3 linked regions of the Saccharomyces cerevisiae S288C genome follow. The gene in region 3 interacts genetically with the main gene of each other region. Each region holds a gene or a part of one and is shown on either strand. Other genes may lie near its edges.

Region 1 (5,501 bases), on a different chromosome or scaffold from region 3:
AAGAAACTGTACTAAATTTCGCAGGAATTAACATATATGCCTCCATAAGAATTAGACGTGCCATTTTGCTGAACAACATAAAAATACTAAGGGCGTAAAGTGAAGGTGCTATCAATAGAAGCACCGATTGAGCAATGAAAGTCGAAATCGAGGGGCTATTGATAAAGACTATTTTCAACACATAACCCACGAACTCTAAACAAATCCCTAAAACGAAAGGAAAATGTGTCCACATCAAACCGCGGGCAGGAAAGTATATTATTGTGGAATTTTCCTCTGACAACTCATTGTTTTCCCAGCGATGAATACGTCTCTTGCTCGTGTGTGTTGCCATTATGATCTGCACCAAGGCAGAAAGGATTAAAATGCCAAACAGAACGACAAATGCAATCGCTGCACCTTTGTGAGGATTGTATGCATAAAAACCTTCATAATCAGTGATTGCTTTAGTAAAAAAATTCCTATTGAGGCAGTTGAGTTCTTTTATCGACAATAAGTCTCTAGTACAGTAGTGAGAGTGTCATGTATTCAGTACCAAGAAGAACTTATATGCCTTTTATAATTCATCTTATAAGTTGCTAGACATACAAATAATCAATATGGAAATGTGCTTATTCCCGCTAATATCCATTAATATCCGCTGTCATTTTTCGCAACTATCACCAAGTGGAGAGAGGCTTGACAACCACCAGAAAAAAACTAAATCAGCCTGCGGAACTTTTCTCGGAAAAAATCAGTTAGAAAAGATCGTACATAGGGCCCTTTTTTGACAGTAAGATTAAAGAGCAAAACGGGACATTATAGATATGCCACCATCAAATACGTGAATTTTCCAAGCCTCATAAACTAATAGCCAACTTGCAACTCTTATAATGCAAAACTTTCTCCGTGAAAGTGTAAACCACCATCTGTCGCCCATCTTTTGGTGCTTTCAATTAAGCCTCTAGGGCCTGCAGCGAGAACCCATACTTGTGACAAATATTCAGCATGGTCTCTGCCTTGATTCGCCCACCTGCAACATTGAATAGAATCCGTCTCTGCATCACATTCGGTTTGCAGACACCATTCATAATCCTTATCTCCAAGTGTAGGCCTGCCAAAGAACACTTTAACACCTGCGGGAATTCTGATCTTTTTAGGCGCCGCCTCTAAACAAGGATCTTGGGCAGGTGGCTCAATGATCTTTGGTTGTCTGAAAACGCTCGATCCGTTAAACGAAGAATGTGTAGTTAGAGTTCCTTGTGCAGTATTTTTCCTTGATTTGGATCTGCTAAAAGCATATGTAAAATCTATCTCGTCATCAGCATTGATGTCAGGTATATCACTTGTTTTTGGTGGGTGATGGTTTCTCAAGGTAGATTTCTTACTTAGAAGGGCTGTGTTCTCATTGGGCTCCGTAGGTTGGGGATTTCCATCTGATAACATGGAATTATCTCCCAGTTCTGAAACTCGGCCGCTCGAAGAAATACTCCTGACTTCATCATTAATATCAGCAGCGCAGTCATGATAGTCAATATAATCAATTTCTATGTCCTGTTCGTTGCCTTCGGTGCCACTAATATATATCTCCATACCTTCAAAATTGTTTTTGAAGTGGTTCAATACTTCCAGATCCTTATAATCTCTAGAAACCCAAAGGAGCCTAACGTTTACACCGTTGAAGTTTAGAATACGAAGTAGTGGTAAGCCAAAGGAAATTCCTGAACCTCCAACACACATAAACACTCTTTGCGCTTTAATTAGAAAATTTAAAGGCGAATTTATTAGTGCAGAAGAATTGTTTCGAAATGGATTCTTGGAAGATTTCGTGGTAATATTAAAAGGAACAGTAGGTTTAGAAATGAAACTCAACTCAGGTTCAAAAGCCCCTGTAATGTAATACTTTTCATTTGTACGCAATGGAAAATGCCCGTTTCTAATAATTAACCTGACCAAATTATCACTTGGAATACTAGCAATAGTAAAAGGATGTTGGAAGGGTATCAAATGGGAGAAAAACCTCCTTAAAAAATTTCTATGGTAAATGTTGATCCTTAGATGCCCTCCTGGTAGGATGGGCTTTTTGGGTAAATCGGTTAATGGGAACTCCAAAAGAGACAATGATGAAGAAATGGGTACTATCGTAACTCTCGTAACATTGGTGATATGGAGCCTATAGACGATTTGTCCCGTTAATATGAGCACATTTAAAGTGGTATAATATGAAATTCCTGGGCGAGCGTGATAATGTAGAAACACCAAAATAAGCCATGTGCTTACATAGTGAACATAGTAAAAAACTCTGTAGCTCCATCGTCTGGCATATCTCACAGAGGTGATGGCAATCAGTAGGAAAAGGCCGAGGGCAATAACCCCATAAATGTTGGGTAGTTTTCTCATTTTCACGTATAACGTATCATTAATGTACATGTAATAGAGATAGAACCACGTGTGTAGAATAGATTCAAGCACAACAATTCTGGAAATCCATTTGTGGAGAGGTAACAATGCTAAGTATAACGTGTGAGGTAACGGTGATGGCCTCAACGTTAGAAATAGTAAAGGTGGCATCAAAGCAACGGAAATTCTCCCCATTCGCTTAGTAATTTCTAACAGATCTCCGTTAGCGCCTTGTATAACAAAAAACGAGGTGAAAACAAAGCATATTAAACATAGTTGTAGTGACTGTTTGTGATACATATGTGTTTTGTGAACCCATGATCTTCTGTTGAAAACATGATGCTTTAAATGGTGACATATTTTGAAGAATTTGTCAGTTAGCAACAAATAATTCATTAAGGGTATAATAACACATATTATAATGAAAGAAATTAAAAGACATATCTGAGAATATTTGCGGACTCTTAAAGTTCTAAAATGCTTGTCCACGTCGACATCAAAACTGGGAAGATGTTCCTTGAACCAGCTAACGATGGACTTTAAATTCATGCTGAAAATAACAATAAATAAAATACAGTAAACTTTTTTAGCGGAACTTCTATTGTAATTTAACGATTTAATCTGAAGAGATGTAGATGTAATAAAACTGTTAAAGTGGCAACGTGATAATTAAAAGCTTGGCAAAAATAAGAGATCAACACTAGCTTTTTCTTTTTCCACCTAAATTTGAAGGGAAATAAAAAAGAAATTGAGGCTGTACAGAGTGTTAATCTTCCATAACGGATACCACCAAACGTTTTTACCCTAAACTTAAATTTTATTACTTATTTTACATGCATAATGGCTGCCATGCGTAGTTCATACATGTTATTTGCACCCTTTTTCTTTTTCAATAACAAAAAAGAGCTTGGGCATTACGTTTTCAACACTTTTAATATTTCCCTTTTTACATCCGTACATATAAAATGTAAACCCATGCATTCATGACAATTTTACCTATTTCTTAAAGGCCTTTGTCACTTCTTTATGGGAATGGCGCTACTTTAATTTTCCGCCTACTTTGAAAAATTTACCAAGGCGAAATTGAGTGCGCTAGGCGGAAGTTCCAGGGCACGGTCACCGAACCTTTGTGCTGTTTCGAACGAGGGTCCCGCTGGAGGTTGACGGACGCGGGAGGAGCTGGAAAGATGGAATGGAAGGACTGCAACACTCAGTAAGAAGGTTCGTGGTAGGGAACATCACCTTCTCTAGTTCCTGTAAAAATAATATGATCAAGTTTGAATCCTCGTATTGAAAAATCGCGAGTTATTAAGTGTGTAATTTAGAATACCGAAATAGCACAAGAAGAGATAAGATAAGATACTGATAGGATAATGTCTTTACCAGCTACTTTTGATTTGACTCCAGAGGATGCCCAACTTTTGTTGGCCGCTAACACCCATTTAGGTGCTAGAAACGTTCAAGTATGTACACATATCCCATACGATTATGTTCTATAGATGATAATAGGTCTCGAAAAGAATATGTCCCCGATTTAATCATATTTGGAGGTCAGAGGACCAAAGGTAATTTCAGAGGAATTTTGAACACGCCGGGTTTAGAAGAGTTAGAATTTCACTTCTTAGTGAGGGTAAGGAGAAGAAACTCAATAAGAATATACATCCTCGACTGTGTCAAAGATTATGAACTCCGATGAAACAGTAAAACGTCAAAAAATTCCACGGGATATAATTCGGTACTTTATTGGATATGGAAGAAAACATTATATATGCACAAATGAACGCTCTTACTAACATAATTTATCTTTCCTCTCTTTTTTTAGGTCCACCAAGAACCATACGTTTTCAATGCTAGACCAGATGGTGTTCACGTTATCAATGTTGGTAAGACCTGGGAAAAGTTGGTTTTGGCTGCTAGAATTATTGCTGCCATTCCAAACCCAGAAGATGTTGTTGCCATCTCTTCCAGAACCTACGGTCAAAGAGCTGTCTTGAAATTTGCTGCTCACACTGGTGCTACTCCAATCGCCGGTAGATTCACTCCAGGTTCTTTCACTAATTACATCACCCGTTCTTTCAAGGAACCAAGATTGGTTATTGTTACCGACCCAAGATTAGACGCTCAGGCCATTAAGGAAGCTTCTTACGTTAACATTCCAGTCATTGCTTTGACTGATTTGGACTCCCCATCTGAATTTGTTGATGTCGCCATCCCATGTAACAACAGAGGTAAGCACTCCATCGGTTTAATCTGGTACTTGTTGGCTAGAGAAGTTTTGAGACTAAGAGGTGCTTTGGTCGACAGAACTCAACCATGGTCCATCATGCCAGATTTGTACTTCTACAGAAACCCAGAAGAAGTTGAGCAAGTTGCTGAAGAAGCTGCTGCCGCTGAAGAAGGTGAAGAAGAAGAAGTTAAGGAAGAAGTCACTGAAGGTCAAGCTGAAGCTACTGAATGGGCTGAAGAAAATGCAGACAACGTTGAATGGTAATCATTTGAAAACCTTGCAATGTGTGTGAATATTGTAAGGAATTGAGAAAGAGAGATAAAAAAAGAGACAGAAGTATCACTTCCTTTTCTAATTTTTCTTTTTCATTTTTTTTTTAAATTCATCTATCGTTTATCTTTATCTCATATATATTTGCTTCTCTCTGAAGCGTCATCATCTATCTGTATTTTTAATGCAATCATAGTATAAAAATTTTTAACCAAATTCAAAAATTATAATATTTTAAAAGTTTATGCTTTTGTCCTTTTATATTCAAGTCATTTGGCCATTATTACGCTTTTTTTTTTATTAGGTAAGTGGTTTCAATAATTAAATTCTTTAGCGGGAAGGCTGACTATCTATAGTATTGAAGATAAGTTAAATTAATGTTTAGTTCTGATATTTCATTTTTATTATTAATTAAATTTGCACTATTCGCCATGACGGGTTCACCCGAGTATTTATTTTGCTTTCGTTATACATATATATATATATATATTCTTCCAGGAGAAATACCTGCCTTCTCTCTTACCCCTTGCTCAATCTAAATCAATCCGTGACCTTAAATCTTCTAGCAGAATGACTAAGTCACAATCGATTTTAGAAATTTGAATAACCAGCTCAGAGATATTAC
Region 2 (4,130 bases), on a different chromosome or scaffold from region 3:
AACGCTCCGATAATCAATTCATTGTTTTTGTACTTCGTTTTGTCAGTAACAAGGGAAGCTCTTCCTTTATCCCCCTGTAAGAGTCGCTTAAGAGGTTTTGAAGCTTGTATCATATCTTTATTGTTGCTGTCATCATTCCTTTCACTTTCTACGTCAGTTGAAATCTCACTCTCTTTATCAGTAGAACTTTGTCCGTCATCAGCGTTATCTGATATAACGATAATGGATGGTTGAAATTTAATCAAATCATCTTTTTGAAACGCAAATTTATCATTCTGGACCCACTTTGTGATGCAACTGGTTTTCACACATTGAATGCCTGACTGTTCAATCTTACCAAGAAATTCATCGACATCATTTAAGCCTGCTTCCCTTTGGAAAATATCTTTCTGAGTCAAATGCATATCAGAATCAACAAAGGAGTCCTCAATCAAAATGACCACTTCCTTACGGCTAGATTGAAGACAATTTTGAATACTTGACACAATTGTGGCGCCCTTTTTCTCCAATATACTCTTAAAGAACTTATTGGAAGATGTGTTAGGATTAGGTAAAAAGGCGAAAAATTTACCCTTTAGAGACATGTGCGATTTGTCTAACAGGTCGCATGTTTATCCTTTACTTATTATCACTGTGACATATAAGTTCTTTGCAAGCCCTTAAAATTATTAGCCCCATGTATTTGAACATCTCAAAGTAATTTTAGACCGAGACCGATTACGGAGATAGAAGAATAGTGCAAGTGAAATACTATTTTATCTTTACTTAAAAAAGAAAAAACAGGAGGAAAATTAGCGGTATTCCATTATTATTAGCACTGCAACGTCCTGGTTATATAAATTTGAATATACAGGATTTCATCCGTTTCTACATTTTTGTTACCTGCATGATCAAATCTTTTAAAGAGTCCCAGGATTTCACAAGGTAGGCACCTTTACCGCCTTCCTTTTCACAAAACTGTAACCACGCTGGACCATTATCAGCTTCAAAACTCGAGATTTTATCCTTTGGGATACCAATAATCTTTTCGGTAATTTTTATGAATTTGGAAGGATTTTCTTGCGGGTTTATTAGCAGTACACCATTAGTAGATGGATGTAATATGGACAACAAGTCAGTCTCACTATCCCCTATATACCAATAGCTGCAAGAATTTCCTTCTTTATTGCAACCTGAGTCGATCTTATCTAATATTTCACCCAGTATCTTGACCTTATCAGAGCCTGTCAATAACCGACAATCAAATTCACCATTGTAGCTTTGAGAACACTTGTCACTAACTTTTTTTAGATCGTTACAAAAAATATGACTATTTTTAAGTCTTCTGTCACCAATGACTTCATGAATAAACTCTTTTGACCAATTTATAGATAAAACGTAAAAATCACTTTCAAAATTTTTGACAACTGAAGAGCAAAACGTTTTGAAACCATCTCTTAGTAAACAATCTTCGTGATTCTGATCTCTGGCGAACGTTTTCATTTGATCCAAAGAAATCGACTTAAAAATCTGTTGTTTTGTAATTTCATTTACACTATTTAACTCAACAACCCTGTTATGATTTTGATATTTTAATTCGTCCGCAAACAACTTATTGAAGTTAGACTGCGAAATTATCGTAGGTACGCCTGAAGATAACAACGGCAGTGATCTCGTTCCATTGTATTTGTATTTATGGTATCCGTCCATATATGTCTTGGTAAAATGACCCCACTCAGGTTTCAACCGCGGGTTCAGTAGATACGGTAATTTAGCAATGGTGCAGATTGTGTCAACTCTTGTGATTGTTTCATCAAAATCTGAAATAATAATGGTTTTCATATCCTCCACTGTTCGCTTCTGGTTACTGCAATTGTTAAATGCATTGGCTCGATTGTCAACATTGCTTTGTGCGAAGAAAGGTCGCTTTTAAAGAAAACGATAAGAACTAACCTCTAACTACATAATAATAAGAAAAAAGTATACAGATAAACAAGCTCAGTAGTAATACATAAAATAAAAAGTTTTGCAAATCGATTGTCCACACACTTCTATATCAATTCCAACTAAGAAAACGAAGGAACCGACTCAAACCGGTGTAAAAGCTAGGCTTTCAATCTCTGCTCCTCCAAACAAAACTAGTGCTTGATATCACATCCAATTAAATTACGTAAATAATTTTAGAGTGACACCATCGTACAAAGAGGGCATTAAGCTTATTTTTTTAATTCTTATGAAAAAAAAAATGTGAAAGAGAGTAGAAAATTTTCATAACGAATCTCTTCTATTCTTATGTACCGTTCCGCCAAATTTTTCATGAAAAAATTTGGGAAAAAGAAAAAAAAAAAAAATAGTATATAAAGTAAAAAAGATGCGCAAGCCCGGAATCGAACCGGGGGCCCAACGATGGCAACGTTGGATTTTACCACTAAACCACTTGCGCTAGTAATCTTGATACATGATTCGAGAAAAGCAACAATATTATGTATACGGAATATACTAGGAGTTCTCTTCAAGGATAGAGGAATCCTCAAAATGGAATCCATATTTCTACATACTAATATTACGATTATCCCTTCTTCTATTTTATATGTTTCATTATCCTATTACATTATCAATCCTTGCACTTCAGCTTCCTCTAACTTCGATGACAGCTTCTCATAACTTATGTCATCATCTTAACACCGTATATGATAATATATTGATAATATAACTATTAGTTGATAGACGATAGTGGATTTCTATTCCAACAAGAACATCCTTGAAAGGTCGACTATTAACATAAGAATAAGAGAGAGTGTGTGGCCGATGCTGTTGCTATAGCTCGGTCGTAGTTTAACACCACGGCATTATTCAGCTTTAAAACAATTGAATTATAAACCTGCTTTTCTTACTACGAAAAGTGTTTCCCTTTAATAAATCTATTGTACATACTTTACAGTTGATAGTACCTTCACCATAAAAATATGCAAACGCTTTTGTTATTGGGAACAGGAATACCAACCGTTCTCATGGAAAATAGCAAAGTGTAAAAGAATTTATTATCATCGAGTGATAAAGAATATCGCCAGATCTTTACGGATATATATCGCTAAAAATATTTGTCGCCAATAAAAGATATGTCTAACGCTCCCTTTGCAGGTAGTTTTTTACTGGCATCGCCTTTTTACTGCAAATTATTGAAAATTTTCGAGCGAGAAAAAGGAACGAAAAGAGATGAGCTAAATTCAAATATCAAAGTACTGTCATAAGTGCTTTCTTTATCGACAAATTACAAGCAGAAGAAACATTCACTTCACAATTAAATGTCCGAAAATCACGTTCCTGCCTGGAAAAGAATTGCTTTGAAGAGACAGACTATAAGCAGTGGTGACGAAAGTAAAGAAAAAGGCCAATCCAATCTAATAGATGATGATCCACTAAATATCACTACGCATTTATCCACTGGTAATTTGACAAAGAAAGAGAAAAAAAGAATCATTAATGGTGAGAGCAAATCCTCTACCAAAAAAGGGAAGCGTGTGTCGAAACCAGGGACGAAGAAGAAGGAAAAATTGTCAAAGGATGAAAAGAATTCGAAAAAAAATAAAATTCTTAAAGATCAATTACGTTACCTGATAGAATTTTTCAGGACAAAGTCTGAGAGCAAGTTTCCCACCGGAATCCTAGAATTGGAAAGTGTAAAAGAAAATTACGGCGACTCCCTGATCAAAGACGAGCCATCAGAGTCTGGTGTTGTTGAAGTTTGGAAATTTTCCAAGCAAAAGCAAAATTGGCTTATTAAGCATTTTTTCAACTTGGACGAAATCCCCTCAGTATATAATGATCTTTTGCTTTTATATTTCAGGGACTTACAAGGTAAATCAAAAGAAGAACTAATATCAAAATGCAAAGGAAAACTGAAGCAATGGAACGACTATGTGGAAGATCAAGAAACAAAAATAAAAGCGTTAATTGCAGAGGATAAGGCTAGCGAACCAATTAATGGTGAAGAAAAAGAAGAAGGTGAAAAAGACGGTAATGCCGAACAAGGGAAGCAAAAAGAGGTACAAGACGAGCAAGAGGAAGTACAAATGCCGAATAAAGAGCTTGTTCAAAGAAGTCTGAAATTACTAGAAATTTGGAAGAATGATGACTCGGAGCAGATAGAA
Region 3 (4,654 bases):
GATTTTGTCTGTTTACTACCACTTTTAGAGTTATCAAGGACAATTGCTATCATAAATAGAATTGTTAATCAAAATGATCTAAAACACCCCTAACGAAGGGCGGATAATTGAAAATAAAGCCAGAACATACCTTTTTGGTCCATTTCCAATCGTTTGAATATGGTCGTGGAGGTTAATGCTGTTCGTTTAAATCGTTTCAGAATGCAAAATTAACCGCATCAGTTTCTGCATTGTGTGTACATTCGCCTGACATATTTTGCTTTAATTTTCCACGACAAGAAAAAAAGATATACATATACGCGACAATAGCAAAAGTCAGAGTTTAATAAGTTGAATATACAAAATAGAATATATAAATGTTTTCAGAACAAGTATATACGCTTAAATGTCTACAAAATACTTAAAACCATATAAATGAACAATATTTTCTTTTAGTCATTGTAAAAGATTTTTTTTTTTGAGGGAGAGGGAAACAGCGGGAAAAGACAACGCTGCAAGCCTCACATGGCGATACTGCCTCTCTGTCTTCTTGCGGATTGCGGATCCACTTCTTTATTCCCTGTTTGTTTCCTTGCTAATAAGTTGATGATGTCTGTCAATGAGACCACACCGATCAACTTACCCGTTCTATATTCCTTTTCGAATAGGTTTGGTGTGTTTGTTGAGGAAGCGGGACTTGGTGGTGGGATCGCGATGGCCGAAGAACGTGGGGATGGTGGGTCTTCCATTGCTGTCATCAACGGAGAGTGGGAGTTGAGGGATGTTGAAGAGGATGACTTTGACATTGGAGTCGCACCATTAGCAGACGATTGAGCGGTGGCAGAAACTGCATTGGCTGCAGTATTAGCAGCTGTTAAATTTGTGGATGACGCCGAGGTTGACGACTCCGGCGGTTGTACGATCCATAGTCTATGAGACTTTGTAGCAACTAACTTGGCAAGAGTCCTTGCTAGTGAACTACTGGGGTATACGTGAAAAATGGGGAAAGAATCTTTACCCGTTTCTAATCCTCTGGAGTTTAAAATGACAGAAATGAAATGGCGACATGTCTTATGTAGTAAGGGGTATTGGGAGGTTCTTGTGACATGTTTTACGTCCGTTACCGATATGTTACCTAGCAAATTACCTTGTTTGTCGATGACTGCAATGGAAGAAATTCTTTCCACATGCATTTTATAAAGGCCCATGATTAAGGGCTCCTCGCCTTGAATAGAGATGACACGGGATTGTCTTGAAGTTGGCTTAGATTGAATATTGAGAACACCGATGTGCAAATCTTGTAATGAGGAGTTTAATAGAGGTTCTAAGCTTGTAAAAGATCTAGCGTTGTCCCAAAGATACTTTATCAAACGACGTTGGGACAAAATACCTTTAACTTTGGTCATCTCTTCGTTTGTTATCGCTACACGATGGACACCCGAACCGAGAATCCCCATCACCGTGGACAAACTCTCATTCTCCGGCAGCTTATAGAACGGATTCTTAGGAGTTAGTTTCACCATTTCGCCCACTGGTACGGGTTTTCCATTCTGGCAATCTGCAGTAAGCTGTTTGTTGCTGACGGTGATTTTATTCAAAACCAGCAAAAGGTACGAATTAAGGTCATTGTAGTCGAAAGTAAAACAGTTCATGTCGCCGGGGAAAGATTCCACGGGAATAGAGTTTAGATGATACTTGATCAAAGTGTTGAATGCCTCCTCTACCGATATGGAACCTGGAACAAAAATAAGCTTATTCTGTTCGATCAATTGCGACAACGGTATGTGTTGCCATTTTTGGGCGTGCACACATGACAGACACTGCGATGGCGTCTGGGTCATAGGAACAGCTGATAGTTTGAATTGAGGCTTTTCATCGCGCAAGGGGGCGGGTGTAGCAGCACAACCTGGACCAGGCGCTGCCGCTGTTGCTGTTGGCGGCGTGGACTCTTCTGGTTGTTCCTTGTCGTCTGTATCGTTCACTTGAACGTGGGGCAGCAATGGCGGAGTAGACAGCATCTCCACAATGGATGCATGTCTAGAAGTTGGAAGGTTGTTGGAAGAATTGCTTTGGCTTGGAGGGAACGTGTTCGAAGTAGAAGCCATGTTGTGTGAAGGAAGAAACGGTAATTGTTCTATAAGTGTTTATAGTTATTATAGTTGGGTTGTGTGCCTGATCTTGCCTGATAAGATAGAAGAAAAGTTGATCTGAACAGGCATTGTTGTTCGTTCTCCAACCCCTATATATGCGAAATATATACAAAATCCCAGTAGATTTTCTCTACACAATAGAAAGGACGCGCCCCTTAAAAGAGGAGGCCCTGTCGCTCAAGACGAGCAGTACTCGCTAAGCAACCGTTCTCTGGGAGGGAACTGCAAGGAACAGTTCTGTTCTTGAAACATGACCTTGAAAAGATCCAGCAGACGTTTTACGTCGATGTTGTGGCAGTGCTGAATGCCGAAGAGGTCTGTGCAGCGTCTGGCCCAATCCATGCGGTACTTGACATCCTTGTCGTCTGGTGCCAGCAGCCTAATTCCTCTTCTCAGCTCACCTAGTTTGACGACAGCGTCCTCCAGCGCCAGATCCCCCATTTGTGTGAATAAGTTACGGATCTCATCTCTTACTAGAGCGCCAAAGCGCGGAGAAAGGCCGTTGGTAGAGATCAGAATCTGTAGACGGTCTCCTATCTCCAGGTTGGCGCCGAAATAAAAGTCACAGAGATCAGGTTTGTCCGCCACATTGACCAGCTGCTGCTTACCGAATCTTTCCTTACAAAGGTGATATATTCTTGCGCTTTCAGGGTGGTCGGGTATACAGGTCATTATTATGTACCACGCGTCGTTCTCGTCTTCTAGGTCGAGGTATTCGTCTTTGAAGTCACTGCGGATGTACTCGTAAATTTCATTCTTCGTGGGGTCCCAGTTCGGATTGATAAAGCGTTTAGCGTCTTCTCTGTAGTCGGGCTGATCCTCGTTCTGGATGAATTTTCCAAACTTCGGAATAATGGATTTGTGTAGGTCAGGAGATACTAAAGTCAGCTTGCAACCTGTAGGTATCAGCTTATATAACCTTGTCAAGCCGACTTCTCCGCCTCCGATTAGTAGTATTTTCTTGTCTTTTAATTGATGGGCTAGCTGTAGCGATTTGACCATTTTTTATCCTATTATACACTCTCTTATTTTGCACACTTCATGAACAATGTATGGCAAAAATGTCTGGCACAGCCTTTTATTGAAGTAAATGTATATATATATATATGTGTGTGTGTGTGTCCATCATTTACATGCTACTGCCCGTAGTCATCGGACTTTGTAGCGATTTTCACATTTTTTTTCCGTCAGCATGGCTATTATAACACGTGAAATTATGACGCCAGCTTTTCGCATATATAGTTAATATAAAACACTTTGAAACGGAACTGTTTGAGTAAATAAATGTACTTAGATAGATAAAAATAGATAGGTAGTATAGAGGAAAAACAAATTTGATTAGAATTATGGATCGACAATTGACTAGGTTGTAACTGAAATGGCATTAATAGAAGAAACGTAAGAACGTAGAGACGCAGATAAAACTGCGGACAAGATTAAAATTTTCTTTTTTTGTCTTTTGTAATCAATGTAGAAGAGAAGGATGAATTGGCGGAACATTGTTCCTATTAGGATGCTTGTTCATGATGCTCGATTTCGAATTATTGGAATTCGGGGCTATATTTAAGGGAGGAGTCATCATCCTGGACACGTCATACATATTTGCACCGTTTCCCATTCCGTATGGTACTGGATTTACGTTCATGTTCATGTTCATGTTAGAATTCATGATCATGTTTGTGTTAGGGTTTGTGTTCATGCTTGAGGCCGTTTTATTGCTGTTGCCATTGGGCAGTTGCATAGAAATTGACATCGCGTTCCCAAATTGAGGTAAGTTATTAGTAGCATTGGAGAATTGGTTGCCCGTCGGATGGAGCGAGTATGAGGGACTTGAATATTGGTGTGGGTACAGTGCACCGTCTTCTTGCATATACGGGACATTAGATCTCTGCAGATTAACGAGGTCGCTATGGCTGCCATTCTTGTTCCTGTGATAATCGTAATTATTGTAGTTGTAATAGTTGTTGTGCGCCATTTGCTCCATAGAAAAGTTACCATCCTGTTGCTGCTGCTGCTGCTGCTGCTGCTGCTGATGTAAAAAGAGTCGCCTTTTATCTTCCGCATATTGTTCAAGAATTTGTTTGGAGTTATCGACTGAAGAAGCCGCAGATGGCGCTCTCAGGCCATTTGAGGACATATATTGGCTTGCCCCCATGATGGTCGAATTTGTTTTAGCATTTGAACTGGATGGGCGTCCCCATGATAATCTTATTGGACTGCCGCCCACAATAAAGCCTTGCAGGCCTTGTATTGAAGCTTCAGCATCAATCCTCTTCTCGAATTTAACAAACCCACAGTTTTTACCATTGGGAATCCTGACATTTAGAATGGGTCCAAAGGGTTTGAATAGTGAACGTAATTGAAATTCGGTAGTTTTTGGTACCAGTCCTCCCACAAAAACAGTAGTATTAGTGGGGTCTGTATTATAGGTGTTTGAAGGTAGTGAATCATTTACACGCATGTTTGAAATGCCGCCCTCATTCAAATGCATTGGAGGCGCGTTATGCAAGGCATTGAGAGGAAGC

The links. A genetic interaction does not mean that the proteins touch.
Region 1: mutations in SDS24 (region 3) and FRE8 together harm fitness more than expected from each alone (negative genetic interaction), as found in Saccharomyces cerevisiae (2 studies listed by BioGRID).
Region 2: mutations in SDS24 (region 3) and CTO1 together harm fitness more than expected from each alone (negative genetic interaction), as found in Saccharomyces cerevisiae (2 studies listed by BioGRID).

The regions. Positions count from the first base shown.
Region 1 is NC_001144.5:238,480-243,980, forward strand, and holds FRE8 (putative ferric-chelate reductase), read right to left. Parts: upstream 2,929-5,501; coding exon 868-2,928; downstream 1-867. Other genes in the region: YLR046C (uncharacterized protein), read right to left, coding at 1-334; 40S ribosomal protein uS2 RPS0B, read left to right, coding at 3,753-3,842, 4,202-4,870; MLO50 (Mlo50p), read right to left, coding at 5,407-5,501.
Region 2 is NC_001135.5:140,350-144,479, forward strand, and holds CTO1 (Cto1p), read right to left. Parts: upstream 1,822-4,130; coding exon 868-1,821; downstream 1-867. Other genes in the region: POL4 (DNA-directed DNA polymerase IV), read right to left, coding at 1-584; RNA-binding ribosome assembly factor RBP95, read left to right, coding at 3,285-4,130. UniProt on the Saccharomyces cerevisiae protein: Protein required for cold tolerance. Plays a role in the regulation of phosphate uptake.
Region 3 is NC_001134.8:648,845-653,498, reverse strand, and holds SDS24 (Sds24p), read right to left. Parts: upstream 2,085-4,654; coding exon 501-2,084; downstream 1-500. Other genes in the region: HPC2 (Hpc2p), read right to left, coding at 1-46, 131-143; bifunctional precorrin-2 dehydrogenase/sirohydrochlorin ferrochelatase MET8, read right to left, coding at 2,307-3,131; NGR1 (Ngr1p), read right to left, coding at 3,595-4,654. UniProt on the Saccharomyces cerevisiae protein: Involved in DNA replication and cell separation during budding.